Linked DNA regions of Alligator mississippiensis. The protein of the gene in region 2 purifies or fractionates together with the protein of the main gene of each other region. This does not show direct contact. Links are inferred from orthologs where the notes say so. Each region holds a gene or a part of one and is shown on either strand. Other genes may lie near its edges. The genes, in order: MTA3, ZMYND8, MTA1 and MTA2.

The links.
Region 1: the proteins of ZMYND8 (region 2) and MTA3 purify together in Homo sapiens (affinity purification with mass spectrometry, with the first as the bait; 3 studies listed by BioGRID). This does not show direct contact. The link is inferred for Alligator mississippiensis from reciprocal best matches to the Homo sapiens genes ZMYND8 and MTA3.
Region 3: the proteins of ZMYND8 (region 2) and MTA1 purify together in Homo sapiens (affinity purification with mass spectrometry; 3 studies listed by BioGRID and IntAct, with this or other methods). This does not show direct contact. The link is inferred for Alligator mississippiensis from reciprocal best matches to the Homo sapiens genes ZMYND8 and MTA1.
Region 4: the proteins of ZMYND8 (region 2) and MTA2 purify together in Homo sapiens (affinity purification with mass spectrometry; 3 studies listed by BioGRID and IntAct, with this or other methods). This does not show direct contact. The link is inferred for Alligator mississippiensis from reciprocal best matches to the Homo sapiens genes ZMYND8 and MTA2.

The regions. Positions count from the first base shown.
Region 1 is NC_081824.1:194,059,135-194,066,568, forward strand, and holds the start of MTA3 (metastasis-associated protein MTA3), read left to right. Parts: upstream 1-4,415; 5' UTR 4,416-4,625; coding exon 4,626-4,653; intron 4,654-7,434. UniProt on the Homo sapiens protein: Acts as a component of the histone deacetylase NuRD complex which participates in the remodeling of chromatin.
Region 2 is NC_081832.1:15,384,534-15,391,554, forward strand, and holds the start of ZMYND8 (MYND-type zinc finger-containing chromatin reader ZMYND8), read left to right. Parts: upstream 1-4,015; 5' UTR 4,016-4,103; coding exon 4,104-4,117; intron 4,118-4,418; exon of another isoform or gene 4,419-4,520; intron 4,521-6,596; exon of another isoform or gene 6,597-6,682; intron 6,683-7,021. UniProt on the Homo sapiens protein: Chromatin reader that recognizes dual histone modifications such as histone H3.1 dimethylated at 'Lys-36' and histone H4 acetylated at 'Lys-16' (H3.1K36me2-H4K16ac) and histone H3 methylated at 'Lys-4' and histone H4 acetylated at 'Lys-14' (H3K4me1-H3K14ac).
Region 3 is NC_081828.1:43,019,334-43,026,227, reverse strand, and holds the start of MTA1 (metastasis-associated protein MTA1), read left to right. Parts: upstream 1-3,883; 5' UTR 3,884-4,136; coding exon 4,137-4,164; intron 4,165-6,894. UniProt on the Homo sapiens protein: Transcriptional coregulator which can act as both a transcriptional corepressor and coactivator. Acts as a component of the histone deacetylase NuRD complex which participates in the remodeling of chromatin.
Region 4 is NC_081838.1:3,231,580-3,239,233, forward strand, and holds the start of MTA2 (metastasis-associated protein MTA2), read left to right. Parts: upstream 1-4,637; 5' UTR 4,638-4,755; coding exon 4,756-4,783; intron 4,784-5,539; coding exon 5,540-5,607; intron 5,608-5,972; coding exon 5,973-6,066; intron 6,067-6,920; coding exon 6,921-7,038; intron 7,039-7,192; coding exon 7,193-7,256; intron 7,257-7,487; coding exon 7,488-7,605; intron 7,606-7,654. Other genes in the region: EML3 (echinoderm microtubule-associated protein-like 3), read left to right, coding at 261-386, 712-843, 1,026-1,093, 1,194-1,282, 1,491-1,588, 2,047-2,134, 2,565-2,663, 2,778-2,908 and 1 more. UniProt on the Homo sapiens protein: May function as a transcriptional coregulator. Acts as a component of the histone deacetylase NuRD complex which participates in the remodeling of chromatin.

The DNA.
Region 1 (7,434 bases), on a different chromosome or scaffold from region 2:
TGCATAATTAACAGCAGCTAAATTGCTCTTGTTTTCCACTAGAACTACTAAATTCAGGAAATGAAACATGGACTGTTCGATAATGTATGAGAAATGTTATACTAATGGTCACAGACTTTTTTTTAGAAGGGATATGAGCATGTGATTGACTGGAATACGTACTGCCAAGAAGGGAAACTCATATGTAGGGACCTAATGAAATCGCAGTTTTATAGATTTTGTGAAATCTGGCATTGGCTAAGAAAGTAGGCAATGCCAGTGAAATCTGAAGAAAGAAGACAGGGAGAGAGAGAGAGAGAGAGAGAGAGAGAGAAAAAGAAAACTCACTCAAAATAAAATCCTGGCTCCCCAGAGGAAGCCAGCAATTTTTGAGGTGCTGCGGCCTGCCACAGGGGGGAAGCAGAAGGGGAAGAGCTGCCCACTTGAAGGGCTGCAGGCAGCATAGCTGATGCCCCTGCCCCTCGCCGTTGATTGATTGTCTGTCATGTTGGCTGCCTGTCATGTGGCCCTACCTCTCTCCATCAATCCATGGTGAGGGGCAGGGCCTTTGCAGCCAATCAATGGTGAGGGGCAGGGTCACTGCCCCCCCTCAGCCAATCAGAGGAGTATGGGACGAGACCATTGCATTCTGCCCTCAAAACAGCGGCTGGACCCTGCATTCTGCCCCCGAACATGATTGCCAGGCCCCATATTCTGCCTGAAAAATCAGCAGATACTGCCTCAAATTCAGTAGGTCCCTTCTCATATGTATGGTTAATGATTTTTCCCCTTATGTTTACTAACTTATTGCATTCTACAGTGTATTTCCTTTTAACTCAGGAATGATGTGAGATGCCATCTTTATATCATCCATAGCATCTGATGAAGTAAGCTGTTGCCTATGAAAGTTTAAGCCTTTCTGAATGAGTTTGTCTCTAAGGTCTTGCTTTCTGCCATCTTTATAACAGGATACACAGACAGCAATCCTGGATGTGAGACAAATGACACATCATCATTGTTACGCAAGAAATTAGTAGAACCTTTTTGTTTTCCAAGGAAAGAGTCCAAATCATAATCTAGCTCTTTAATAATATATGTTTTTCATGTGATGAATTTAAAATAAACAAGGAAAATCACTTATAATTTTGTTATTGGTGCCTTGAGAGCATTTCTGAATCAGTTTTATTTGTAAACAACTCTTTTAAAACATTTATTGATTCTGAGACCAGCTACAAGATTTATCTTTGTTTCATCTAGTAATTTTTCCAGGATATATGGTAAACTTTTTCTATTGGACATTTTTCACTCTCAGACAGGGTTTTTGAAAACAATATAAGAATTTTCATGTGTCACCGTCCAACAAGCCTTGATTACTACTGTCAAATGTATTCAAGGAGATCATCACTTTAACTGAAGGTTTATGCTCGGATGAATTGTGTGTTACTGCTCAAATGAAAAAAAGGTACATCATCATGGTAAAACAAATGAAAAACCAACAATGCCACTGAATAAATGTGTAAGCAACTCCCTTTGGATGAGAATATACAGCTGTCTGTTGAGAATATTAATATTTGAGTACAGCAGTGATTATGCCAGTCAAACCTCTGGATGCTGAATGTAAAATACAACATGGAAATAAAAACCAAGAGGGTCACAAGTTAAAAACAGCACAGGGTGGGATTCATTGCTTTTATGACAAACTGTGATCCAGTGGAACAAAGGACCAGACCAGGAAGCCACAATTAAGTCCTGCCTCTACTAGTACTGTGGAAATTTGAACAAATTGTTCAAACTATCTTCTTCTAAATGTAAAAAGGTATAGTCATTATAGGCACATGATTGTAGCCTTCTGCTACAAGAAAGGTTTTTATGCTGTCTGTTAAGTGGTCTGAAATTGTTAAAAGGTGTGAAATACTATAATTGCTGTAAGATAAATGGCATGGTTAATTAGATCCATTTTGTGACTGAACATTTCAAAGAAAATATCTTACAAAAATAAGAGTGTGTCTTTTTTCATGGAGTAGTAGTACATCATGTATCTATAATGAGGGACAGTTAAAAAGTAGAATGAGGACCTGCTCATAGGAATTTCAATTATTTAAATACTCCAAATATGTATTTCACATACCCTATCAGTAAACACAAGTACACAAACTCTAATATCAATCTGTGGACATGCATAAGAGTACACAGGCACCTGCATGCACCCCTCTTCCATAATAAGCATGCATTTGTATCTTCTCTAAAGTGCCTTTATGTATGGGTGCATACTTCACTGCCCAAAGACACAACTGTGATTATGTTCCTTACTTTCATTATAGGCACCCATTCATTTACTTGTGCTTTATAACAAACCTATGTTTAGATCAGTGATTCTTAAGCAGGGTGCCACAAGATCCACTCACCAATATTGAAATGTTATGCAGTCTTAGTACTGCTAAGTGAGCAAACACCTATAACTGACTCACAAGGTAAACCCGGAGACTTCAAATAGGAATCCAATCAAACCGGAAAACACTCTGTCCTATAATCAATTTTCTGAGCCCTTTACACCAGAATTGCTCTTTTTTCCTGTAGTTAAAAATGAGTGAAAGCTAAGAGCTGGCATTTACTGAGGGGTGCTTTGAATCTAGAAAAGTGAAAAGCCACTCATCTAGATACACAGCTCTTAACATTTCTCCTTCCATGGACATACAACAGACCACTGGTTCTCAACCTTTTTAGACTCAGGGCAGGCACCCTTTGAAAAATGTCAGCTCTTAGCTTCCACTCATTTTTCAATGTTGGGAAAATACTAGAGGCATTCTTCTGTTGTAAAGAACTCTGAAGGACTGCAACAGGTCAGATTATTTTTTACACTGTGGATTCCTATCCGTAGTCTCTGGGTTGATCCTGTGAGTGGGGTGTGCCAAGACTCCTGGAGGGTTCTGGCTGAAAGGTCTTGCCCCTGTGCTCAGGGTTAGACCAAATGCTGTAGTTAGAATCAAGAAGGAATTTTACCCCATGGTATATCAGAAATTGGTATAGACTGTGGAAGTTTTTGCCTTCCTCTGTAGCAGGGGGCCTGGCTCTTTTCCTTGGATCTCTCAGGTGTGTTTAATAATACTTATAGTAGCAGGACATGGGCTGCTGTGGTCCCCCTGCTGTACTTGTGGCAGATGAGGGTGCTGCGCCTTGTGGTTGTGGGGTGGGCAATTATTTTGGGCGGAGGGCCTCTTACTGAGTTTTGGCAAGCAATCAAGGGCTGCATGACAGGGAGCCCAGGGCAGATCAATATTCATTTTCTAAATTTTTTAGGAGCCCCTCAGGCCGGATAGAATGGCGTGGTGGACCACCTTTTGCCCACCCCTGGTGTAGTCAGTCACATGCAGGTGTTTGCTAACAGGTTAGACCAGGGGTGTCAAACTTGTCTGGACTTGCAGGCCAGAGAAGTGCTACAGGATTAGTGTGTGGGCTGGATGACTGGTGTGGGGATGGCCCAGTGGGCTTGACTGGGCCCACAGACTCTGTTTCCAGTCCAGCGGGAAGAGGCCTGCCACCCCAGGCATTTACCTGCTATGACAAGAATGAGCTGCGGACCTAGAAGCACAGGCTCAGGGGTGACTTGGTGGCAGCCTATAAGTATATAAGGGGTATGCATCAGGATTTGGGGGAATGTCTGTTCACCAGAACACCCCAAGGCATGACAAGGTCCAGTGGTCACAAACTCCAGCAAGACCATTTTAGGCCGTGCATAAGGAAAAACTTCCTTACTGGCTGAGCCTCCAAGGTCTGGAATAGACTCCTTACCAAAGTGGTGCAAGCACCTACTCTGGACACCTACTCTGGACACCTTCAACAAACATTTGATCTTATGAGGTCCCTTCCAGCCCTAATGTCTACAAAAATCTATGAAAGTCTGTGCCCTGGCTATCTCCCCATATGTCTGTGGGGGCTCCAGTGCCGTAGCTCTCATGAGGGTGCTTGGCTAAGGTGGTGGGACAATGTCCCTAGCAAGGCTGGAGGCTGGTCTTTTGGCCTGCAGGCCGTGTGTGACACCCTGGGGTTAGACAAAGGACTGGAGCTAGACGTCTCAGTGGTGGCAGGTGATGGAACAAGGGGCAATGGTCTCAAGTTGCAGGATGGGAAGTTTAGATACATTATTAGGGGGAAAAAATAAACTTTCAAGAGGAGGGTGGTAAAGCACTGGAGCAGGTTACCCACTCTCCATCCTTAGGAGGTGTTTAAGACCGGCTAGACAAAGCCAGGATGCTGTAGTTGGGCTGGTCATGCTTTGAGCAGGGGGGTGGATCAGACGCCCCCCTGACATCCCTTCCAACCCACATTTCCTATGATGTGTATGGGGCCAGCTTGGCTAAGGCCCGTCCTGCACCGGGCGAGGGGGAGGATGCCCCGATGCCCCCCGGCGGCCCGCCCACTCCAGCCCGACTCGTGCGCGGCGCCCCGGCCCGGCGTGCAGGTGTCTCTCCGCCCTGCGCGGGCCCCCGCAGGGCCAGCCCCCGGGCCAAGATTAACCCCTTGCGCGCTGCAATCAGCGCGCGGGCGGGAGGAGGAGGGGGGAGGTGGTGGGAGCCGCGGGAGCCGCTCCCTCCTCGCCTAGCCCGGCCCGGCGGCGGCGGCGGGAGGAGGAGGCGCAGCGCGCAGACATGGCGGCCAACATGTACCGAGTGGGAGGTAGGTGGGAGCCGGGCCCGGCCCCCCGGGGCGCTGCGGGCAAGGGGCAGCGCGTAGGGGGGGAGGGGTGTGTGGGGTCGGGCCCGGCCCCGGGCAGCGGGGCAGGACGGGGAGCAGGGCCCGGCCCGGCCCGGCGCTGCCACGGGGAGAGGGCACGGGCGGCCTGCCCGCAGGGCCGGGGGCACACGCAGCGCCCCCGCCCCCCCTCGGCGGGGCGAGCACGTGCTCCCCGCAGCCTCTGGGTGTCCCTGTGTGCACACGTGTGTGCCTGTGTGCGTGTATGTACCTGTAGTGTGTGCACCTCTGTGTGACTGCTCGGGCGTGTGTGTACCTGTAGTGTGCGTGCACACGTGTGCACATCTGTGTGCGCCTACGTGTACCTGTAGTGTGTGCGCACGTGTGTGCTTGTGCGCCTACGTGCGTACCTGAAGTGTGCGTGCTAGTGTGCCTGTGCGCGTGCTCGTGCACATAAATGCCCATACCTGTAGTGTGCACATATACATGTGGCTCTGTTTGTGTTTGTACACGTGTGTCTGTGTATGTGCACACATGTTCCTGTGTGTGCGCGTGCATATGTGCATGTGCCTGTGTGTGCTCACGTGTGCCTGGGTGTGTGCTTATGCACCTGTGCCTGCCTGTGTGGGTGTGTACATGTGTGCCTGTGTGTGTACCCATGCTTGTGTGTGTGTTGCGGGGGGAGGCAGCCATCCCTGGGCAGGAGGTTGTTGAGGGCCGGAGGTCCTGTGCCTGGCCTCTGCTCAGGTCTGATGGGCCCACAACCTGCATCTGTCTGGGACTTCCTGCAGTGTCTGTCATTCCCCCTTGCTGCTTCTTGAAGGTGCAGTTCCTACCCCTGCTTCCCTTTCCATCCCCACCCCACCGCACCACAGTTTGATGATAAGCTGCCTGCGGTCTGCGGGGGAATAGAGCAATTTTTTTTTTCATCCCCCTTCTCTCCCTTGTGTGTCGGTTCACCCGCTGCATGGGCACAAAGGAAGTGAGGCCAGTCAGAGAGTCCAAGAGTCTGTGGAAGAAGACAAACACTTCCTGTGTACACCGCAATACTGCTTTGCTGTGATTCCTGGCATAAAGAATGTGAAAGGGAAAAGTCCAGCTGAATTTTGCCTCTGTACACCCCCTGACATTTACTACACAATAGTATACCTGTCCTATCACTGCCCAAAGTAGTATCCGGTGCAGGGGACATGGAGAACAGGAACTTAATAAGATACATGTTTTCCTGTTTGAGCAAATCATGTGCTAAGGAAGCCTGAATTAAAGATGGCAAACTGATGAACTGGGTCCCCCTTGTCCCCCTTCCACCTGATGCAGTTATAGCAACAAGTCCACTCTGTTCCTCTTCCTCTGTTAGGTCATTTAGTCCTGTAAATCTTTACTCAGTCTTTACTAGAGTAGTGCTTCTGAAGATCAGGTAATGGTTTACAACAAGGATGTCAAAGATGTGGCCTGCAGGCTGGATCTGGCCTACAGAGCCATCATCTGTACAGTGGAGCTCTTGGAGGGGTAGAATGAGCAGGCGCAGACCCACAATTTAATTTTGAGGTATGGAGACTGGGTTTTTGGTTGTAGCCGTGTTGGTCTAAGGACATAGGCAGGCAAGGTTCTTTGGGTAGATGTGATATCTTTTATTAGACCAACTGAGTAGTTGGGAAAAAGTTCTTTGCAAGCTTTTGGGTGCAATCACCCTTCTTCAGGCATAGGGAGTCTCTGCTGTTCTGAGATCTCTAAGGAATCAAAAGCTAAAAGTGTGGCAGGATGTCAGTGAGAATGTAAATAGGTACAACTTTTTGTTTTCCTAATTTTTGCCTGTTTACATTCTCACTGACATCTTGCCACACTTCTAGCTTCTCTCATTTCTTGGAGTCTCAGAACAGCAGAGACTCTCTATGCCTGAAGAAGGGTGATTGTGCCCAAAAGCTTGCAAAGAACTTTTTTCCAACTACTCAGTTGGTCTAATAAAAGGTATTGCATCTACCCAAAGAACCTTGCCTGCTGAGGTATGGAGATGTGTTTCTGCTGCAGGCTGAGCCATGACTGCATTAATCTCTGTGGCTCCCTGAGCTGACGCAGCCCTGCTGCTACCACTGACCAAGGTGTGTGTGGAGTTGGCCAGCAAGGCTCCTTGGGATCTGAATCTGGCCAGGGGGTGTTGCAAATGAGTTTGACATCCTTGATGTACACAATGTAGTTCCTGCTGCTCAGACTGGATTCTCATCCTGTGGGTCTTCAACTCGTAATAGAGGTGAAAACCATCCTCTCATTAGGGTGAAACGAGATGGGATCCTGAAACTTTCTTTTCTTAGGTGGGATCATGATATGAAAAAAGTTGAGAACCACTAGTTGAGAGCTTGCTAAACTTTCTACTTTTGTGTTCCAGATGAAAAACAATGATAGCATGCATATTTTTTGTGGTTTAATCTTAAGATGTTTCTCAACAACCATCTGGGAGGTAGGGTGGGTTATAGTGAAGCTAGTTAATTGGAGATTACCCTTGAAGACTGTAATCAGTAATTGGAGATTACTGGATTATATTCACTTCTACCATATATAGAGAAAACTCAGACATTGTTGCAAAACGAAAATAAGACAAACTTTCAAATTACATTTGAATTTAGTGAAGCATTTCTTAGAGAATCTCCAAAAAAGGTAGGTTTTGAGAAAACAGATTGAGGGAAAGATGTTGCGCACAGATGTTTTGATTATTTTAGGGGGTTGGACTCGATGATCTGTGAGGTCCCTTCCGACCCTAGCGTCTATGAA
Region 2 (7,021 bases):
TGTGATCCTCTTCCACCCTGCTTGAGTCTCTGAAAGACAGTTAATGCAAAAGGTGGATGGTGCTTCTTGCTCACTGCTCTTTTGTGATTTAGTCTGATTATAAGATGATACATTATATGAGTAAGCATGCTTATGTTTTTTCAGAGACTTGAGCAGGTTGGAATAGTATCACACTCAGATGCCAAAGTCTGCTTAAACATATAGTAAATGAAATAAGATCTGGGCCTTAGTTTTTAGAATCCCAAATGTAGGAAGGAGGTAGGGCTCTCATTTCGAGAGAGAAAATGTGAAATCAGCCTGCAGATCCTAAATGCAGTGGTTCTCAACCTTTTAGGACTCAAGATACCCGTTGATATAGTCCAGTTACCTCTCACTAGACTCAAGGCATCCCATAGAGAATGTTAGCTCTTAAGTTTTCACTTTTTTTTTTTTTTTTCCGTATAGAAAAATAATAGAGCAACTCATCTCTTGCAAAGAACTTGGATCATACCAGGTCAGAATGCTTTTAACACTATGGATTCCTATTTAAAATCTCTGGGTTTATCTTGTGAATCCTGTTTGTGCACCAAATAGAGCTAACATTGCATGGCACCCCTGAAAGGATCTCAAGGCACTCCAGGGTGAGAATCACTGCCTTAATGTAACTTTCTCCTGATCCTTTTGCTTTCTGCATTTTCCTTTAGGAATGTGACTTTATCGTGTGTGCGTGCGTGTGTGCGTGCGTGCGTGTGGCACACTCAGTGTCACAGGCTGGACCATATATGCAAACCGAACGCTCCTCCCCTATACATACATCTCTTCCCTACGGGCTCCCATTTTCATTCCCATCATGCTTCCTAATATATGTGGGGGGATCCTTTTTTTCCCCTGTCTATATGAGACCTCTGCTTGTAATGGACAGAAGATGCATTATGGGAGTCAGTCCAGGGGTGGAAGGGTAGGGGTGCACACTGAAACTGGAGGAAATGGTGCCTCCTGCTTGTATTTGCTAGTAGGTGCAGTTTCTGGTTCTTTCCTGGGTATAGTTCCTCCTGCCCAAGACAGTTGGTGGTTGCAACATCTGTAGAATTAATTCCTTCTTTGATATTTTTGTCTTCCCCTTCCTTCCCCTATGTTTTCCCTGTTTCTCTCTTTCAGTATTACCCCCTCTCTTCCTTTTCTAATTTTTTTTCCCTCTTCAACTACTTAGTGTTTTTAACAACTTGAATCTTTAAAGCATTGAACTGGGTGAATGCTAATCCGTCTCTTTGTCCTCTCCCATACCTTAATGAAGCTGTCTGGCTTCCTCTTCTCTTTCTTTTCCTTCCCCTCCCCCTTCCCCCCAAAATTTACTCCTCCTATGTAAAAGAGATTAAGTTGAAATAGGAGGTTTATTTAATTGTCTTGCATATAATTTATAGGTATAGTATGCTCATTGTAACTAGGGTTCCTGTCAGGCTTTAAACTGGGTGCCCACCTCCAGCAAGAAAGAAAGCAGACAAGACATTTAAAGCATTCCCTTGCTTGATCCGCTTTTAAATAACTAAAAAGACTTTTTACCCTACCAGGTTTGCATTCTAAACAGGATATGCTGTTTGAAAGAGCAGCTTTTTTTTGGTTTTGTTCTTATTTTGCTGGGTGGTTGACCAGAGGCATTTGGATTACTCTTTCTAACTTAGGCCACTATTTCTTTGACTCATCATGGTAGAACTTGGGGCCTCTTCTAAGGCTGCTGCTGTTGCTGCTAGGTTATGCAGCAGACCATAATTATTAGCTGATGCACTGATTCCTTCCCTAAAGACCAAGTGTGTCAGTTTGGCAATCTGCCCAGCCACCATCAGCACCATTGCATTCACAGAATGAGGTTGCTGAGGAAAAAAATTGACGAATAATGCATGTTCACTTTCATTCTGTGTGTAATCTGAGTAATGCTAGAGCTGAGCTATCTATTAATGAAAATAGACTTTAGTAGTTGGTGACGCCCTTTCTCTTGCAGTTAGTGCATGGACGAATCAAAATCTAGATAGTTAAACATTGAGGGAAATTATCTTTTATTTTGCAGGGTTTTAGGCACAGACCTGACTTGAAGGGTTTGAACTATTAAAAGGAAAATGCTGCAAGTGCTCACTTGAATGTCATGGATTTCCAACATGTTCTTGCTGCTGTAGTGGGCTGTGCATTTCCCTTTATAGCAGCATACTGTTTCTGCTTCATTCCTAAAACAGAACAAAACTGCCAGTGTAATCTGTGAGCCTTCCTGCTCTCTGCCCTGAAAAACATTGCCAGGGCTAAAAAGGGAAAATGCTTCCAGCAGAGACTCTAGAATCGCTTATGAAATGAGTATTACACTTGGGGCCATTAATCCGCTGGTACAGCCTAAAATACAAACAGAAAAATGTACATTGTTTTGTGACATGGTGGTTTGGGAGTTTTCCTAAGAGACTGATTGTTATCTCTGAAATAACATGAATTCAACATGGGACACTACAGCCTAGGATGTTTATTATATATTGAATTGTATACATGTGAGTCAGGAAAATTCAAAATGGACAGACCTGTCTGTGTGTCTGTGAAGGTAATACCTATTTAAATCTTAAATTTCTCCCTTTTCCCACTACCCTGCACCTTTCTTTGCATAAACAATTATTTTTACATTTTAAAATTAGTTGCTTTTTACCTGTAATGGCCAAGTAATTTGTAGGTGCAGATAGACTTTGAACGCCTAGTTACCTGATGTCAGTGTAAATATTGGAGCACAAATGTAAAGTCTTTGTATAAATTCGGCCCTTTAAAATCTCCCTCTGGAATTGTGCCTTTCCTCTTCCTAGAATAGTGATAAATCCACTAACCCTCACTGTATTCAGAAGAGAACTGAATCACAGGGTGTTTGGGAAGAGGAATGAAAGCTCATTTTCTTTGAATAAGGTGGTTAAGAATTGGCCCCAAATCAGACTGGTTGTTCAGATGCATTGTGCTCTAACTCCAAAATCACATACCATCTTCTCAAATTGCTTCATTCTCCAGAGCCTTAATCTATGGTAACAACTGAGGCAAAATGCTGCAGAATTGAGAGAGCTGTGCTGATGCTCATATCTCCATCTGAAAGCAGACTCTAGTATTATTCCAGACATGGAAATCCATTCCCTTTTAGGGCCTACATTTAAAAAAGTACCAAGTCTGACAGGGTTAATAGACAGGAAGCTGCAGCTGCAGCCACTAATACGGAAGTCAGATTTTTGTTTAACTGACAGCTTTAGCAGGCCTGAGGATGGGGGAGGGGGAATTTGAGAATACAGCATCTGTGGTGCAATACTGATGATTTTTGCTATTCACTGCAGCTTTTAATTTCTTTTCTTTCTTTTTTTTTTTTAGTTAAGGAAACCAGCTTCCTACTCTGTAATCCAAAATATGTTTTTGTTGAAATCAAACATGCCATGGTTTTCACCTAGATTCTGGTATCACAATGTCTAATGAAATTATGCTCTGGGTATGTGACTTTTAGTGCTAATTTTAGGGGGTTTTAAAATCTGTAAGAAAATCATTAATTCTGGTCTTTCAGTTTTTCTTTAATTTTGTTCCTGCCTGTCTGTTCTGTGTCAAGATGCTTTCCTCCCTTTCTAAAGCACAGCTTTTTCTGAATGGGGTTTATTTCAGAATACCAGCAAAGTGATTTTAGCTTTTCTCCTAGACCTGGATGATGAACCCTCTTTGTTGCTGATTTAAAATCTCTGAGTTCAGTCAGTAATGACAGTTTGAGATGCATTTTATTTGTGCAAGCAGTTAGTGATCACTTTCCCCTGCTTGAAAATCTGGGTGTTTTTTATCAAGAGTTCCTGTTTGGGGTCTCTTTTTAAGTTTCTTCTGCTGAAGCAGGCCTAGCTTAGCCTGTCTTCTCTATGCACAGGATGGCTCCTGCTTGCCAGAGCTGCACAAAGATAATCGCTCAGGAAGTGTTTCAGCCAATCCCCTGAAGCTTTACATTCAGATTTACCAAAGTAGCCAATCCAGGATTAGCTTTTATTAGGAAGACAGATCATCAAGCTGAAGTGCCAAGCCCTTTCTGTCTGAGTACTGAGAGCCTGTCCTCCATGTTTTATAAGTATTGACATAACACTGTGTTAACAATGCATCCACAGAGGTAAGCTTTACTTTTTACATTTTTTTTCTCTAAGACCTATGAGCTGTGGGCTGAGAGTGTGATTCTCTGTGATCTGTCGTGCAAAACTCACACCACAGCACTTTATTAAGTTGAAACTGTTTAAATTTGCTTTCTTGGGTCACATGGTTAGTAGCCATTAGCCATAGCTTTATTTTGCAAACTGGCAAAACCTTGGCATACCTACTACTTCACAGGAGGATGGTGTTTTTAGAGTTTATCAAGATCCTGGTATTCCAAAGCAGCTTTCTCTCTCTGAGCAGTTTGCCAGCACTATTGTCTGTTGTGTCACATGCCTGCTGAAGAGAAAATGGAAGCTAGGGAGCAGATGCATTTAACTGCCCTACAGGGAGTCAAGCAGGGATAATGGCAGACAGCAGAACAGGCAAGTTTACCTTTCTAAACAGTGAATGGAACAGCTAAGATAAGTTATCTCTGAGAAAATATGGGATTTTTAAAAACCTAGACATCAGCAAAAAGTGCTAATGGCAGATTGTAGTTATTGGGCCTAGGTGGTGTTGTGCTGTTGCATCATGTTTTTTGTGCAGCTTATCTTAACTTGAAATGGATTTTGAACTTTTTTCTTATAGGAGTAGTTAATATATTATGTTTCTTTTAATGAAGGGCAATATATGGTTAATATTTTGTGCCTTTAAAAATGAGTTTCTTACACTGCAGGTTTTACAAATAGGTTTCTGGTCAATAAAATGCAGGATATCATCTGTTTATGTTTCTAATTGTTTAAAGAAAAATATGCTTTTGAATTGTTAGCTTCTTTCTCTGGCATGGTTCAAATAAACTAATGCACCTTTTATCTGTTTCTATTTTATTTTACACTCTACCAGCCACAGTTCTATGTTGTGGAGTCCAGGGGATATAAAATCATGTGTGGTTCATGGCAGTAGTACATGTTGTTCGTTTTTCTCCCTTTTTTTTTTCTTTTGGTTTAATGCTACGTAATTATTTCAAATATTTCCCTTTTGATCAATTTCCAAATCTGCCAGCCTGTTGTATCTTCTTAACTGGAAAAATGAGATGGTTGCTTGAACAGTTGGTAAGTAAGCAGTGTGCTCGTCTCTGAACATTTTTAATAGTTTACAAAATATTTTGCTTTTAACAGGGTGCAGTTAGCCCAGCAGGTGAAGTATAGTCCGTGGCTAGTAGCATTAAAAATCAGGAGTTTTGTTTAGCATCTATTTGCAATGACTTGTTCATGTAAATTCTGTTCCAGCTTGAATGCACTGTTTTTCTGATAATCTGCTGCTAAACTTGAAGGTTATACTTCCTGTTTACCTCTGGCCAGTGAAAAAATTTCTACTTACTTTTTGTTCCTAGATTCTTAATTAGCATGTGTGGAGGTTAGAGTGCAGTCAGGCTGTTTCTCAGGCTTATGAGGTGTAATGAAAGTGCTAGTGCTCAGCAATGTGGTGTCCTTATACAGTTAACTGGATGTTGGTTACTAAATCTGTTTTAATACCATATGAAATATAATCTAAGATGCATTTGTTTGATTTATTAGTAATTTTGACCGTTTTGCACTTTATTGCAAATTTTAATCATAGCATTTGAGTGCATATTTTAACAAACTGCAAGGAGATAGATTCTTTAGTGTTTTAAGCCTAACTGCATTTATTTGGAATAATTCAACCCATAATGCTTATATAATTTTAAGAATGAACCCAAATCTAATCTGGTTTTAGATATTACTGTACTTTGTCAGGATTTTATGCTAACTTTTTTATAAAGGTTTCCATGACTTTGATAACATAGTGTAACATGCCATTTAACTCTGGTTGCTTCTTTGCCAAGATTAATATCTTAGTGTGAAACAGAAGTATTAACTGAAAAGTCAGATTACAAACTAAACCAAAACTGAAATGAACTGCTGTTTCAGCATACAAAAAAATGATAGTGCAGCTAAGCAATAAGTTTGTGCTGTTTTAATTTATCTCTGATTAGTAAAATCAGAAATTGCATTTGGACATAATTTTCCTAGCAGCAATTTATACACATTAGCAGTTTGGTTTGGAGTCTGAAACATTGCACAATATTATATTTGTTTAATATGAGGAAGCAGGAGTAAGTGATCTGCAATCAAAAAGCTTGTATTAAAATGGCTCCCATAGGTTTTGTTAAACTAGGATCTGTTTCAAATCTGCACCTCCAGACACGTTGCTGACAATGAAGCATATTTGTATAAGCTGCCCTGGCGTATGTAATGAAACATAGTATCGTGAGTCTGTTAAAGTTCTCTATTTTTAATCACTCAAATATAATTCTTTTATAGTTCACAAAAAATAAATGTCTGCATTGCAGCAAGATGTCTGAGTCAAGGTAGAGACAGCAGTGTTGTTTTACAGATCAGCCCAATCACGCTGCTCCATGGAGTACTTGAGCCAATAGAAACAGAGGGTAGGTTAAAGATTGACAATTGCAGTGGCAAGACTGAGAAAGGCCTTCTGGAAATTTCTACCATCTTTGTTCCATCTAAGTAAAGCAAATTCAGCCAAGCTGAAGAATTTCATATATTTTTGGTGCTTTGTCAAGGTATGATGTTATCTCACTCCCTTTTTATAGATTGCATAATAAGAAGCACTCTGTGCTATTTTTCTACTATGCAGGCCAGATGGGATGTGAGGTTTTATTTAAATGACAAACCCAGGGTGTGGGGGGGAAACATATCTCCCCAAGATTTTGCAGGACTGGGTCTTGTTAATATCACAATTAGATGGAGCATGCATGAAGCAATGTAGCTGAAGTATATTCAGCTTGCAGAAAATGGCCATTATCCTGACATACACAGGAATTAATGATATAATTGCTTTTTGTTCTTTAGTAGCCAGAAGAATTAATTTCAATTGTCCAGGATGAATATGATTAGCTGTT
Region 3 (6,894 bases), on a different chromosome or scaffold from region 2:
CGCCCCAAGGGATGACGAGGTCAAATGGTTATAAACTACTGCAAGACCATTTCTGGCTGGACATAAGGAAGAATTTCTTTACTGTCCAAGCCCCCAAGGTCTGGAATAGCCTGCCATGGGAGGTGGTTCAAGCACCTACACTGAATGCCTTCAAGAGAAATTTGGATGCTTAAGTTGCTGGGATCCTATGACCGCAGCTGACTTCCTGTCCCTTGGGTTAGGGGGCTGGACTCGATGATCTTCTGAGGTCCCTTCCAGCCCTAATGTCTATGAAAACAGCAGTGGAAGAGAGAGAAATTCTCATTTGGTGAAAGACCAGAGAGGGGGAGATTAAGGGAAGAATAGTGGCATCTTTATCCCATTGCTGACTGGGGTCACTTCTGTTCCTGGTACAACTTCTAGCAGTCCCAGAATTCCTGTAAATTATACCCTGCTGCCTTTAGTTTATGAAATTGTCTTCACTGCTGAGGGTTGCTAGAATGACTTTGAACTTGTGAATCTGGGATGGAGGTTGGCATTAGAGTCTCTACCCCAGCTTCAAGCCACTTGAAGACTCCCAATTAACACGGTTTTGCCCTCAAAACACTGCAAAATAGATGCATCAGTTGGGAGAATTACTGGCTTCCTCTCCAAATAATCTTGTGCAACAGTAGTCTCCTTATTGCATGTAGCTGAAGATTTCTGTTAAGTGCTGTTCTACCCTAGTAATGGCAAGCAGGCAGTGTCATCAGTTGGCACAGTGAATTTCACTGTTTCCTGTTCAGTGTCACAAATATCTCAGAAATCTTCTGCATGGAAATTAGATTCATTGGGGCCTGAAGCAAAGGAGTTTGTGGATGACATTGTAGTTGAACGGAATCTATTAAGCTCAACTTAAAGCTAAAGTAAATTTAGAGGGCAACTGAAGATAATTGACTAAAGCTAAACTGATAAAGATGTATGTTCCAGCAAACTAGTTATATTGATTGATAAAGAAAGGGTTAGGGCAGTGACAAAAGAAATCAAAGCCACAGCTGAAAGGCCATCGCTGTGAAAATAGAAATGGTATTATGTCTCAGTAATTGCTAGATTTTGGAACCCTTGAAAGGCACGTTTGTAGTTATTTGCATAAAACAATGAAGGCAAACCTGAGATAAGGTAAAGGAATGTGTTTTTGAGGGTCTGATGCATCTACTTACTGTATCCCCAATAGTGCTATTTGATGATGCTTCCAGGTTTGTAGCTATTTCAGTAGAAACCAGCAGCTATGATCTTGGTAAGTTTGTGCTTTAGTTGCACAGATTAATGGAAGATGAGTGGCTGGAACGCTATTCAGAAAACTATTGGTTGAGATTTTCAAAGACAATGGAGGATTTAGCCCTTTTGCATTTGTAGAGGTAAACATTTTAAAAAGCTTTGGAAATCTTGACTATTGCATATGAAGACTCCAAGAGAAGCCATGCTGAAACAGAGAGAATTTCTGATTAACAAACGCACAAGTAATTTGTAGGATATTTGAAAACATTTAATAATTTCATGTTGGTGATGGAGCACAAACCACTTGTACCCTCACAAACAGACAAAACGCATCTTAAATGCCAGAGATTGCTCATGGGTTTAACTTTCAAGTGTATTGCTATAATACATACTGAAGCAGTTGCCAATCTTTTAGAGAGCCTGTAAAAGTGGTTACGCTTTCTCGAAGAGCCCTATTTTATGATCTGACCTCTCCAGAGGCCATATATGTAAAAGAGTTTCTGCTCACTCTTGCCAGAAAAAAAAAAAAGAACCGATTAAAATAGCTGTTTGGTCTGTCTCTGCAAGCCGGTTCCAAAGTTTTCAAACAAGATTGGCTTGATTATGTATCAGGGGTTTACCATGCAGTCTGTGACATCTATTTAATGAGAGTTTAACTCTGTAAAGAGAAAAGTTTGATTACCTATAGTATTTGTACTGTGATCCCACAGTCCCTGCAGAGTGACCTGTTGTAAAGACTGCATAAGGAGTAGCAGGACCTCAAAAATACTAGTGTTAGCCTGGATGTTAGTGTGCTGACCCAATACACCACAGGGCCTAAAATGAAGGTAAAAACATGCAAATCTTGAGTGATCTGAAAGAAAGGCAATTCGAATAACTTCCTTTGATGAGAAGGAGGAAATGAGGCAGGTCTGGTCAATAACCATTAACTTTTTCTAGCTTTATAAAAATGCTACTTCTCATTAAACCTGTAAGCCAAAAGGGCTTAGGGAAAGTTAGAAGACTTTTTTTTTCCAGTTTGACCTCTGAAAAATGGTTGCTGACAATGGATTATATTTGCCAGCCCTGAATTTCAACTTATGGTGATTATAGAACAATTTCAATATTAATTCTAGCCTTCCCCCAGGGAATGTAATACCAGAGAAAGCTGTATATTATATTACTAAGAAAAGTCTACAAAAAAAAAATAAAAAATTCAACGCTAGCTCTGAGCTCCACAGCCATGTCTGCTTCAGTCACAAGAGTTACCTCAGGTCAGTTGAAAAACAAGGCTCTAACCTCAGAAGTACATTTTAGGCTTGAGTAATCCTAGTTTAAAGGATACAAAAGCTCTAGGGTGCTGACTCCAAAGACATCTTTTGGCTTTCTTCTTTAACTGTCAGAATGCTGCCTAAAGCTTACTTGAAGATAAACCTGGACACTCGGCCCTATTAAAATTGGATGGGAAGTACTGGACAACACCAGCTGCTGTCACCGAACGTAATGGTACAGAGTTTCTGTGTCGTCCACACTGGTTAAGGAACTCAGCACAGAAGGAGCAGCAACTACCACCAGCCAGCTCCACGTGCAGCAGACTTGACGGGTGCTCCTTTTAGCAGCGGTAGTGTTAGAGTGATGTTGTAGCTGTGATGGTCAAGGAATTATGCAAGAGGCGAGGATTTCTTAGGATGACATCTCTTATTGGACTTAACTGTATAGTTGGGATACAGCTAGACAAGCCTAGAGACCTATTGGAGGTCTTGCATTTGAATCCTGGTCTAACTCTACCCCAGCTATGCAGCATGTTCAATAAAAGATGTCGCCCCGAGGAATCCTTGCCTCTCGCCTAATGGCGATGGCACTTGAACCACAACCCTAGTGAACTGTGATTCCCGCTCCTCCTGGAGCGAATTGATTGGCCAAAACCCTCAAGGCTGGGATAAGGCCTAACAGGGGAATGAGGGAGGCACCTTTAATTTTTCTAATGTTTAGTGTTGTTTTTACTGAAAGAAAGGTGTGACCTTAAACCCAGAAGCTAGGAAGCTGGGGGCCTGCGTGTTGTTGAGGTGCAGTAGCCATCCTGCCCTGGCTGCGTGCGGCAGGAAACGGTCCCTGTCGCTGTCCATCTCAAGCTCGGTTTTAACTGCGCTTTCCTGTGGCCGCGACCACCGCCAGAAGGGCTTAAGCAACCGGGGCCTGGCTTGGTGTAACCACGGCCTCAGACAAGCGGCTTTAAGGCTCCTGCGCCTGGATCCTTTGTTTCGCTACGGGCAGTTTCTTGTTCAGCAGTAGGAAGTCGCTTGGTGCGGGGCTTTAACGTGGGATGGGGTCAGGCCAGAGATGGCGCAGGCGGTGCTCTGTGTGGGACCAGCCCGGTGCCCATGCCCCAGCCACCCAGCGGGTTCAAACGGGGTTCCCCAGGGCGGTGGGTGGCACCTGCGCGGTCCAGGCCAGGAGCCCGCCTGCCTCCCCGGGGGCCTGGCAGACCCGGGGCGGGGAGGGCCCCCCACCCGCCGGGGCCGAGGCCCAGCAGAGCCCGCTCTCGGCGCTGAACAGAGCATAGCAGAGCAGGGCCGGGCCGGGCCGGGCCGCCGCGCTCCCGGGGCGGGGCGGGGCGGGGCGGGGCGGGTCAGGTGGGGCGGGGCGAGGCAGGGCGGCCTAGGCCTCGCGACGCCGCCACCATCACCTCCACCCCGCCCGAGTGCCAGCCCTCTCTCGGCCCGGCCCTCCCTTCGCTTCGCCTCGCCTCGCCTCGCCTCGCCTTCCCTGCCGGCCGGGGGAGGCGGCGGCCGGCGCGGCCCCTTTAATTCCCTCGTTCCCCTCCCCCTCCCGGCCGCTCCAGCCTCCATTTTCCAGCGGCTCCGGCACCTGGAGGCAGCGGCGGTGGGAGCGGGCCGGGCCCCCGCGCTCCCCGCCCGGGCATGGCCGCCAACATGTACCGGGTCGGAGGTAAGAGTCCCCGCGGAGGGGCCCCGGCCCCCTACCTGCCTCTCTCTCTCCCGCCTGCCGGCTGGCCGGCCGCTCCTCCCCGTGTGCGGCGGCGTCACGGGCCGGGCCGGGGGTGCGTGAGGCTGGAGCATGTCCCGGGGCTGGGGGGCGAAGAGAGAGGGCCGGGGCAGCGCTGGCTGGAGGGGCGCGGGTGTGTGCTGCCTGCCGCCCCCGCCCTGCGCATCCTGGCCGGCGCTGGCCCGGGGCGAGCACGGGCCCCGCGGTGAGGCCGAGCTTTCGGGGCGGCCTCGGCCCTCCGCCCGCTCCCTCGGGGGAGCTGGTCGCGGAGCCCGTCTCAGGCTGGCGGCGGGCGGGGGGAATCGGAGACCCCTGCACTGCTTCGGCCCCAGGGCGCGGGGGTCCCGAGTGCGCTGTGGCGCTCGCTCTCTTGGGGTGGGGAGATGGACTAGAGTAGATTTAACAAAGAAAACCTGACAGGTGGGAGAGCGGCAGGAAGTTGCAGCAGCCCCAGCCCCGACGGGGGCTTGCTGTTGTCCTCCCGGTCCTGCTCATGGATATGGCTCTCCCTGTGCAACTTGTTGCACCTCCCTGTTGCCTGGCCCTCCGTGAAATGCCAGGACATGGATACCTTCCTCCTGGCTGCGTTTTGGCTTGATGATGAGACCGTACTACAATTTGGTTGCCATGACTTTGCCCCTTGGGCCACTGGGAAGATGGTGGCGAGGGTTGAGCGCCGCTGCCATGGATTGGAGACGCTTGAGACCTGGACGGTGAAGAACAAGAAGTTTTGCTGGCTTTCGGCTCGTTTCTTGTCGCAGTTTGTAAACGGGGTTTCTGAGGGCCTGGCTGTTCTGTTAGTGAGTACCAGTCTCTCTAGTTGTATTGGCTTAGAGCGATAGTTAGCCCTGTTAGTCTGAAGGCAGGGCAGGGTGGCACCTTAGTAACTGAATGAGTTAGTCTCTAAGGTGTTGCTTTGCTTTGCTTGGAAGACAGAGAGCTGCTCTGTAGGCCATGCTGTTCAAGGCAAAGACTATTTATCGTGATTACCACTCTGTTAACTTACATGTGGATGAAACCTTCACTTGTCATGTTGCCAAGACCTACAGGGATGATGGAACTATTTCTAGATGACTACTCTGTTGAGTGTGACTAGAAGTAGGAGGCTGTGTTGGTTGCCCCTGAGTTTGGAAACAAGTACCTTTCTGCTTCAAACTTTGTTGTAACTCGCACAGGAGATGGGTGCACACAAGATGTGATTAGGTCATGAGCAGCTGTGAATAGACCATCTTGATTCTGATGATATATTGACTACAGGTTTCCTTCGCCAACCATGGTTTTGAGTCTCCACGCTTAAAATTCTGTATACTGTGGTAGCCAAAACGGTATACAGTTCTAAGTAACCCCAGTTTTCCACGGCTGCGTATCGGCCCGCCCCCTGCCATTTTTCATATATGCCTTTTGTCTTGCCTACCACAGGAACTTTCAGGAATCTAACCTGAATGGCTAGTGGTTGGCAAGGGAAGCCTGTAGTTGTTTTGGTCACCCAGTCATATTGTCCTCCTGAGATACTTTGGTGCTTGTATGGATGATGACCCATGTATGAATCAACCAGTACCTGCCCTAGTGATCGTAGGCCTATACTAGGCTGTTTTTTTGACTCAGTAAATGTAGATGGTAATAACTCTTAAAACCAAGTTTGGAAGTTAGTTTGACAGCAGTTGTGCTGAACATTATTTTATTGTGGTATGGTCATACGCTTGTGCAAACTGTTGCCAGGGATTTGTTCGTGGTCTGGGCCATAGCTTTGTTCCTGTTGACCTGTGAAATCTGTTTATCTGTCCTCCAGAACTAACAGTTGAGTCTTATCTTTCTCACGGCATTTTTTCCCTGTTTGGCTGGTAGACAACTCTTGTAGGGACTTACAGGACCTACAGTGCCTTTCAGGAAACTCTGTTTTGCGCTCTAATATGGATGCTATATTTCCTAAATGTATATTGTATGTATACATGTACAACGCTTGCAGATCACCTTGGTTTATAGATGAATGGCAACTTGAAAAGGAGGTCAGAGCATCAGTTGCAGAAATCAAGTGCCGAATTTGACTGCTCGTTCTAAACTTTTCAGATCATGTCTCTTAGCTATAACAGAGATGCTTTTCTTCACCAAACATTCACAGGAGTATGAATATGGGCTGCTTTTGGAAACAATCAAATGTGTATTTTCCATCTTTGTTTTAGGCAGGTTTGAGTGGCTTTGCACTGAATTGGCTGCCTGTGTGATCACCGGTATCTGTTTGGATTTTGCATCTCTAGGAATGTTGTGTTGGGCAAAACTGACCTCTGAATATATTGGGGAGCTTTGGTTTGGGACTTGCTGCTTGGACTTCTGCCCCTTCTGGCTACTAATGTGCTCTGATGTAAATTCACTGTTGTGGGATTGGGATTTTACCTATTCAGGAGGATATTGTCAGGGCCTCCAAGAGAACAAATAGATACTCTTATCAGTAAACTTCCTTTTCCAGCCTACTTCTGGATGAAAGTTAGTGGGCAGCTTCTCACATGGTCTGGAGTTAAAAGAATTCCCTTATTTTATTATTAAACCTGAATACAGAATAAAGAGCCCTTGTTTTGAGTCTGTAAAAGTGTGTCTACACAGAAATGGAAACTGCAATTGCAGGGCAGGAAGGCAAACCAATGCAAGCTTTAATCTAGCTGCCAAGGTTTAAGCCAG
Region 4 (7,654 bases), on a different chromosome or scaffold from region 2:
GAGGCCGGACACCTGGGTTCTCTGGGTGGTGAGACTGGGGGGTGAGAGCTGGTAGGACTGGGTGCCTGAGTTGTCTCCAGCCTGGGGAAGGGAGTAGGAGTGCGGGTTGAGAGCAGGGAGCCCGGATGCCGGGGTCCTCGGGGGCAGTGGGGGATGAGAGCAGCGGGGGCTGGGAGCCCAGATGCTGGGCTCTCCCCAGCTCTGGGGGCTGGGCAGGGTGGTTCCAGCTGCCCCCTGACACCCCCCTCCCACTCCCCCAGCTGTCTGAGCGGTTTGGGGCCGTGCGCACCATCGCAGAAGGTGCCGGGGGGGAGCTGCTGGTGGGGACGACACGCAACGCAGTGCTGCGGGGGGGGCTGGCCCAGGGCTTCGTCCCCATTGTCCAGGTAATGGGGGGTATAGCTACACTGGGGGGGGCCTTGGGGGGCTGGAGGTTCCCAGCCTGCCCCGTTCATGTGCCCAGCAGCATCTGGATGTGCTGTAGGGAGGCTGAGTGGGCTGTGTGGGGGCTATGGGGCCAGAAGGGAGCTGTGGGAGTCCTGGGGGGGGGGGGTTAGAGCTGGCAGAGGCTGGGGGTCCGAGCCCACCTTGCTGCCTCAGGGTGCTCGGACGAGCTGCAGGGGGGTTGGGGGGTCACAGCTGCTCCCCTCCCCAGGGGCACACGGATGAGCTGGGGGGGGGGAGGGGTCACAGCCTGCTCTGCTCCCCCAGGGGCACACAGATGAACTGTGGGGCCTGGCCACACACCCGCGGCTCTGCGTCTTCCTCACCTGCGGCCACGACCGACAGCTCTGCCTATGGGACGGCGCTGCCCACAGCCTGGCCTGGAGCCTGCTCCTCGAGGTGGGGGGGGGGGCCTTTGGGGGCTGTGGCGTCAAGGAGAGTCTTGGGGGACTCTGCAGCCCTGTGGGGGTGTTTGGGGGGTGGTCTGTGGCCTCAGGGGGGACATTTGGGAGGGCACTTGGGGGTGCTGGACCTGCAGCCTGGGGGGCTGCTGGGCCCGGCTGACGCTTCCCATCCCCCAGGACACAGGGCTGTGCGCTGACTTCCACCCCAGCGGGCAGGTGGCGGCCGTGGGACTCAACACTGGACGGTAACTGCCCCCCCTGGGGCGGGGGGTGGGGGGGCAGCTGGTGCCCCCCCTCCCTCAGGCCCTTTTTTTCCCAGGGGCCCTGACCCCCCATCCCCTACAGGTGGCTGGTGCTGGACACGGAGACGCAGCAGGTTGTAGCCAGCGGCTCGGACGGCAACGAGCAGCTCTCGGTCATGCGCTACTCACCAGGTCGCACCCCCCCCCCCCCCACGGAGTCACCCCCCACCCTCTCCATGGTTCCTCCTATCTCCCCTACAGGGATTTATAGGGTCACAGCTCCTCCATAGGGTCACACCTGCCCCCGTGGGCCCCCTCCTCCCCTCCAAAGCCCCAACCCCCCTTTCTGCACCCCCAGGGTCCTAGCCCCCCCCATGGGCTCACTGCCCCCCCCTTGCAGACGGGGAGTTCCTGGCCATCGGGTCCCACGACAACTTCATCTACATCTATAGCGTGGGTGACGGTGCTCGCAAGTACAGCCGCCTTGGCCGCTGCACGGTGAGCCCTGAGGGCCGGTGGGCAAGGGGGCAGGGGCAAAGAAGGGGGGGAGATCTCTGGATGCTAGGTGGGGCAGAATCAAGGTGAGAGGGTCTGTCGGTGCTGGGGGGCGGTCTCTGGGTATTGGGGTCTGGGAGGCGGGTCTTGGTGCTCGGAGGGGCAGGGGCAGGTAGGGGGATCTCAAAATGGGGCTGGGGACTGGGGTGGGCTTTGGCTGGGTGTGGGAGTCTTGGGGTGCTGGGTACAGGAGCAGGGTGGGGGGTTCTGGGTTTGTGGGGGGGTCTAGAGTGTTGGGGGGGCTGGGGAGGGGTACTGGCTAGGGTACGGGTCCAGCCATTGGTCAGACTGTCAGCATTTGGCCCTGGGACGGGGTCCTGGGATGGGGCTATAGGCCTCTGGCATAATGGCGGGGTCTGTCTGTCTCATGCCCCTGCTATACCCCCCTCCCCCCCTGCCAGGGTCACTCAAGCTTTATCACCCACCTGGACTGGTCCAAGGACGGGAAGTTCATCATGTCCAACTCAGGCGACTATGAGATCCTCTACTGTGAGCTGCGGGGGGCTCCAATGGGCTGCGCTGGGGGGCTCAACTGGGTGTGGCAGGATTGGAGGGAAGGGGGTTGCATGGGGTTGGGTGTCTCTGGGGGTTTCCAGGTTGGCTGGGGGGGGGTTCAGGGAGGTCTCCATGGGGGCTGGGAGGGTGGGTAGCTGCAGGGTGGGGGGCTCTCCATGGGATGGAGGCTGTGGGTGGGGTTGCATGAGGTAGAGCGGGGTTGCATGGTGTGAGGGCGGGTTGGAGGGGTCTCCATGCGGCCTGGAGGATGGGGTAGCTGCAGGGTGGGTTGCATGGGTCTGGGGTCCCCATGGGGTGAGGGGGCTGGAAGTGGGTTGCATGGGGCTGAGGAGCTTCCAAGGGGGCTGGGGCTGGAGGGAGTCAGGCTGTGCATCCCCCCCACACCCCTTCCATGCCCCCCCAGGGGACGTGGCTGGGAGCTGCAAGCTGCTGCGTAACCGGTTCGAGAGCCGGGACCGGGAGTGGGCAACGTACACCTGCGTGCTCGGATTCCACGTCTTCGGTGAGCTGGGGACATGGGGAGGGGGACCCTGGGGGTGTCCCCTGGGGGTGCCGGGGAGAACCAGGGGGGGCAGGGGGCACAGAGGAATGCCCACACGTGCTCATGTGTGTGCAGGCGTGTGGCCGGATGGCTCGGACGGCACAGACATCAACTCCCTGTGCCGGTCGCACAGCGAGCGCGTGGTGGCCGTGGCCGATGACTTCTGCAAGGTGCATCTCTTCCAGTACCCCTGCTCCCGTGCCAAGGTCAGATGCCCCCCCCGCCCCCTCCCTGGGGGTTGGGGTGGGGGTGCCAGGCCCTTCTGCCCTGGACCTGAGGCAATTCTGGATCGGAGAATTTCTGGGGCAGAGGGCCCTGGCTGTCTTGGCGTGTCTCTGCCCAGGGCATCTTGCCTGGAGAGGGGGCAGGTATCAGGGTGGGGGGCACACTCCGCCTTGTAGGCCAGGTAGTGGGTAGTGTGTCTTGAGGGGGGTCTCTGCTGGGGGTGGGGGGACCGGGGGGGGTTCCACAATATGGCTGGCCGAACTCGAGGGGTTTCCTGAGGTTTTAGGGGGGGGTCTTATATTCAGAGCTGGGGTTGCTGCAGAGAGTGTGGGGGTCCTGAGGTTTTGGAGGGGTCTCTTATTGGGGTGGGGGGTTTCAGTGCAGCTGGGGAGCTCTAGGAGGTCTCATATGGGGTGGGTGGCTCAGCAGGGCCTGGAGGAGGCTCTGGGACCTTAGGGGGGCACTGGGGTTCTATGGGGGGGTCTCAGCCCCCCAACTCCTGCACCCCACAACTCCTCCCTCCCACAGGCCCCCAGCCACATGTATGGTGGCCACGGCAGCCACGTGACCAACGTGCGCTTCACCCACGACGACGGGCACCTGGTCTCGCTGGGGGGCAAGGACACCAGCATCTTCCAGTGGCGGGTGCTGAGCGGGGGGGGCGCCGTGCCCCCCCGCAGCCGCTCCTTCTCCTCCACCTCCCTCTCCTTCCAGGAGGCTGGGGGGGGGCCCTGAGTGCCCCCCCCACCCCCAGCCAGCCGCGGCACTAACTCACGCTAACGATGTGACCTGCTTCATTAACCATAACTCCCCCAGGGCAGAGCAGGAGGGGGAGGCAGGCAGTGCCAAAGCAGGGAGGGGCCAAGCACCCCCTCCCTCCTCCACGGGACCAAGTCTGGGGGGGGCAGGATGCAGCCCCCCCACCTTCGTTTACATTCCCGGCTGCTCCAAGCCGCTCTCGACACTGTGACAGGCCCAAATAAAGCCTTGGCATCAGGGGCCGGGCTCCCGTCTCCTTCCTGGTGGGGCGGGGAGGCTCGGCTGGGGCAGTGGGGGGGTCTGCCCCACCGCAGAGGTGGCTGCATCTTTGCGTTGGGCTCAGAGGTATCCCTGGATGCAGGGGAGCTGTGCCCCACCCTAGAGGTGGCTGCATGTTTGCACCAGCATCCCCATGTTCCACCTCAGCACTGGCTGCATCTCATCAGCGCCTTGGGGTTGGGGCTAAAGAGTCACTAACTGGGGGTATGGAGGGTGCATGTCTATTTTTTTTGGTTCTATGCTAATATATGCAAATAGAAGCCAGATCTATGCTCATATATGCTAAAGAGGGCGAGGGAGTAAAAGGGAAGAAATGGTGCGACACGGCGAGGAAAAGGTTAATGGGGAGCCGGAAAGACCCGAAGTACCCCCCCTTTCCGGAAGGAGCCGAAAGCGGCGGCGGGCGGAAAGACTCGAGTGCTGCCGGAAAGAGCCGAAACCGAGCCAAGGCTCTTCCGGGGGGGGGCCCGAAGCTAGCAGCGGAAGTGGCCGAGAGTGGAGTTAGGGGCGGAAATACTCGAGCGCCGCCGTAAATACTCGAAGTGCTGGCGGGAATGCCCGAGGTGGTGGCGGAAGCGGCAGGGCGGTGACGGAAACGCCCGAGTGATGCCGGAAGTGCCCGAGCTGGCGGCGGAAACACCCGAGCGGCACCGGAAACGTCCGAAGCGGAGGCGGAAACACCCGAGTGGCGCTGCGTGAGGAGGAGGAGGCGGCGGCGGGAGGCGATGAAGAGCGGCCGGGGCTGCCGGTAGCGAGCTCCGCCGAGCCGAGCCGGGCCAGGCCCGGGGCCATGGCGGCCAACATGTACCGGGTGGGCGGTGAGTGCGCGCGTGGGGCCCGGCACCGAACCGGAACCGGAACCGACCCCCGTCCCCTGGGGGGGAGGGGCAAGTGCCCCCCCTGGGTATTTGGAGGGGGTGGGGGGAGTTGAGCCCGTGGGGGCTGGGGTAGATATCCCCCGTGGGGCATTCGGGGGGGTGAGGGGGGCAGGTCATCTCGGGGGTAGCTTGGGGGCAAGTGGAGGGGCTGGGTTATGTAACCCCCCACTGGGGTATTTGGAGGGAGTGGGGGCAGTTTGAGGGCCTGGGGGGTAACTTTTCAGAGCCCTGGGGTGTTGCTGGGGGGGGGGTAGCGGCCCCCCCCAGGGTATTTGGAGGGGGGTGGGGGTGCAGCTCTGCCCCCGAGGGGTGATTTGGGGGTCCCTGGGGTAGCTCGGCCCCCGAGGGGTATTGGAGGGGGTCGATGAGCTCTGAGGGGGCAGTTTGGGGGGGCTGGGACAGGTCATCCCAGGGGGTGGGGAGCCGTGTGGGGGAGTGGGGGGCAGGCGGCCCCACGGGGAGTTTGGGGATCCCGGGGGGGTGTATCTAGATGGGGGCTGGGGGGCAGGTCAGGGCGGGGGAGGGCAGCAAGAGAGATTCAGCCCCTGGGCGCGGGGGTGGGGATCGCCCCGGGGGCCGCAGTCGGGGGCACTAGGCCTCAGGGGGGCTGATTGCAGGGGTCGGTGCTGGGGCTGGGTTGGGGGTCCCGCCGCTTTTGCCCCCCCTGACAGCCCCCCCTTCCCTCCCCGCCCCCAGACTACGTCTACTTCGAAAACTCCTCTAGCAACCCCTATCTCGTCCGGCGCATCGAGGAGCTCAACAAGGTGAGAGGCCCCGGTGCCGCCCTGGGGACGGACCCCGGCAGGATGGAGTCGCGCCCCCTCCCATGCCCCAGGGGCTGGCGTCCAGGCCCCTTCCCCCCCTTTGAGGCCCTGCTCTGGGGCAGTTCTGCAGAGGGTTGAGGGGGCTCGGCTTGTCTGGGGGTTGCACGGGGGGAGTCTTGTTTGGGCTGGGGTGGGCCTGGCCTGCCTTGGGAGATGAGGGGGTTGTGGGGCAGGTCTGGGGGGGCAGAGGAGGGCTTGACTGAGGGGATGTGGGGGGTTGCAGACCAAGGCTGGGGGGGCTGGGGAGACATGCAGGGGGCAACTGTGCCCAGGGCGCTGTGGCAGCCTTTCACTCTTGCCCCCAGACAGCCAACGGCAATGTGGAGGCCAAGGTCGTCTGCCTCTTCCGGCGCCGTGACATCTCCAGCAGCCTCAACAGCCTGGCCGACAGCAATGCCCGTGAGTGGGGCACCAGGGGGGAGCTGTGACCCCTCCCACTGTGGAGGGAGGGGGGTCTATCCTGGGCCTGGGCTGAGGGTGACGGGGTACAGAGCAGCCCAGGTCCAACCCCAGGGACTGAGCTGCCCTGACTTGTCTCTGAGCAAATTGGGGGCTGGTTTTGTTTCTCCCAGCACTGCCCGTGTAGCAGGGGCCTGGGAGTGGGGCGCAGGGGCTGAGGGCCCGGGGTGAGGGAGCGCTGGCAGAATTTGGGGGTCAAGAGTGAGGGGCGTTGGCAGGGCTAGCGGGGGCTGCAGGTTGGGGGTGAAGGGCACTGGCAGAGAGCTGCGAGTTGGGATGTGAGGGGCACTGGCAGGGATAGGGGTTGAAAGGGACTGTGGGGTTAGGAGTGAGGGACCGGCGGGGCTGAGAGGGGCTGCAGGTCAGGAATGGGAGGCACTGACAGAGCTGGGCTGAGGGGTGGCGGGTTTCCTCCCACTGTACCATGCAGGGCTGCCCTGGCCCGTGACCCGGTGCAGCCTGGAGGCTGCAGACCACGTGGGCTTAATGGCATTGGGGGGGCGAGGGCTCTGCCTGGGGTTTCCTGGGCGCAGGAGCAGGGGTAGATTTTCCACCCCCAAGCCCTTGGGCAGCTGCCAGGAGCTGGAGACAGGCGGGGCTGGACCGCAGCTGCCTCCACGGAGCCGCTTCCTGCCATGGGGGCTGGGGGGAGCGGCTCTTGCTGGGGGCGGGGAGGGGGGCCTGGAAGTGTGGGCAGGGGTCTGAGCCCATCTCCTTGGCATGAAGAGGGAGCTGTGTGGAGCTACCTGACACCCCCCCTTCCCCTGCTCCCCCTGCTTGGCATGTTCCCCCAGGGGAGTTTGAGGAGGAGTCAAAGCAACCAACAATGACAGAGCAGCAGCGGCACCAGCTGAAGCATCGCGAGCTCTTCCTGTCCCGCCAGTTCGAGTCGCTGCCGGCCACTCACATAAGGTGTGTTGGAGGGCACCTCAGCAGCTACCAGGGAGGAAGCTTTGCATGTGGCAGGTGGGGGGGTGGCAGGTGAGGGGGGGGGGGATTCCTTGAGCTGGCCTGGGCAGGGAGGGAACTCCAGCATGTGACACGTGATCTTGCTGGTTGCCCACAGGGGGAAGTGCAGCGTGACACTGCTCAACGAGACTGACATCCTGGGCCAGTACCTGGAGAAGGAGGTGAGGGGGGGTCGTAGCTCTCTGGGGGCAAGGTCCTGGTCTCTGTAGAGCTTGGGGGGGGGAAGAACTGTTTTGGGCTGGGGTTGGGGGTGCATCTCCCTGGAGGTGGGGGAGCTAGTCTCTTTTGGGCTGGCAGCTAGGGGGAGGGCAGTTCCCTGGGCATGGGTCTGGAGGGCTGGGGGCTCTGGGGTGTTCCCAGCCCAAGGTTCATTTCCTCTCCCCCGGTTCCAGGACTGTTTCTTCTACTCGCTGGTGTTCGACCCTGTGCAGAAGACCCTCTTGGCCGACCAGGGCGAGATTCGTGTCGGCTGCAAGTACCAGGCTGAGATCCCCGACCGGCTGGCTGAAGGTATGGGGAGGGGAGGGAAGGGGACCGCGTCCATCCCCCTTGGCTGGAG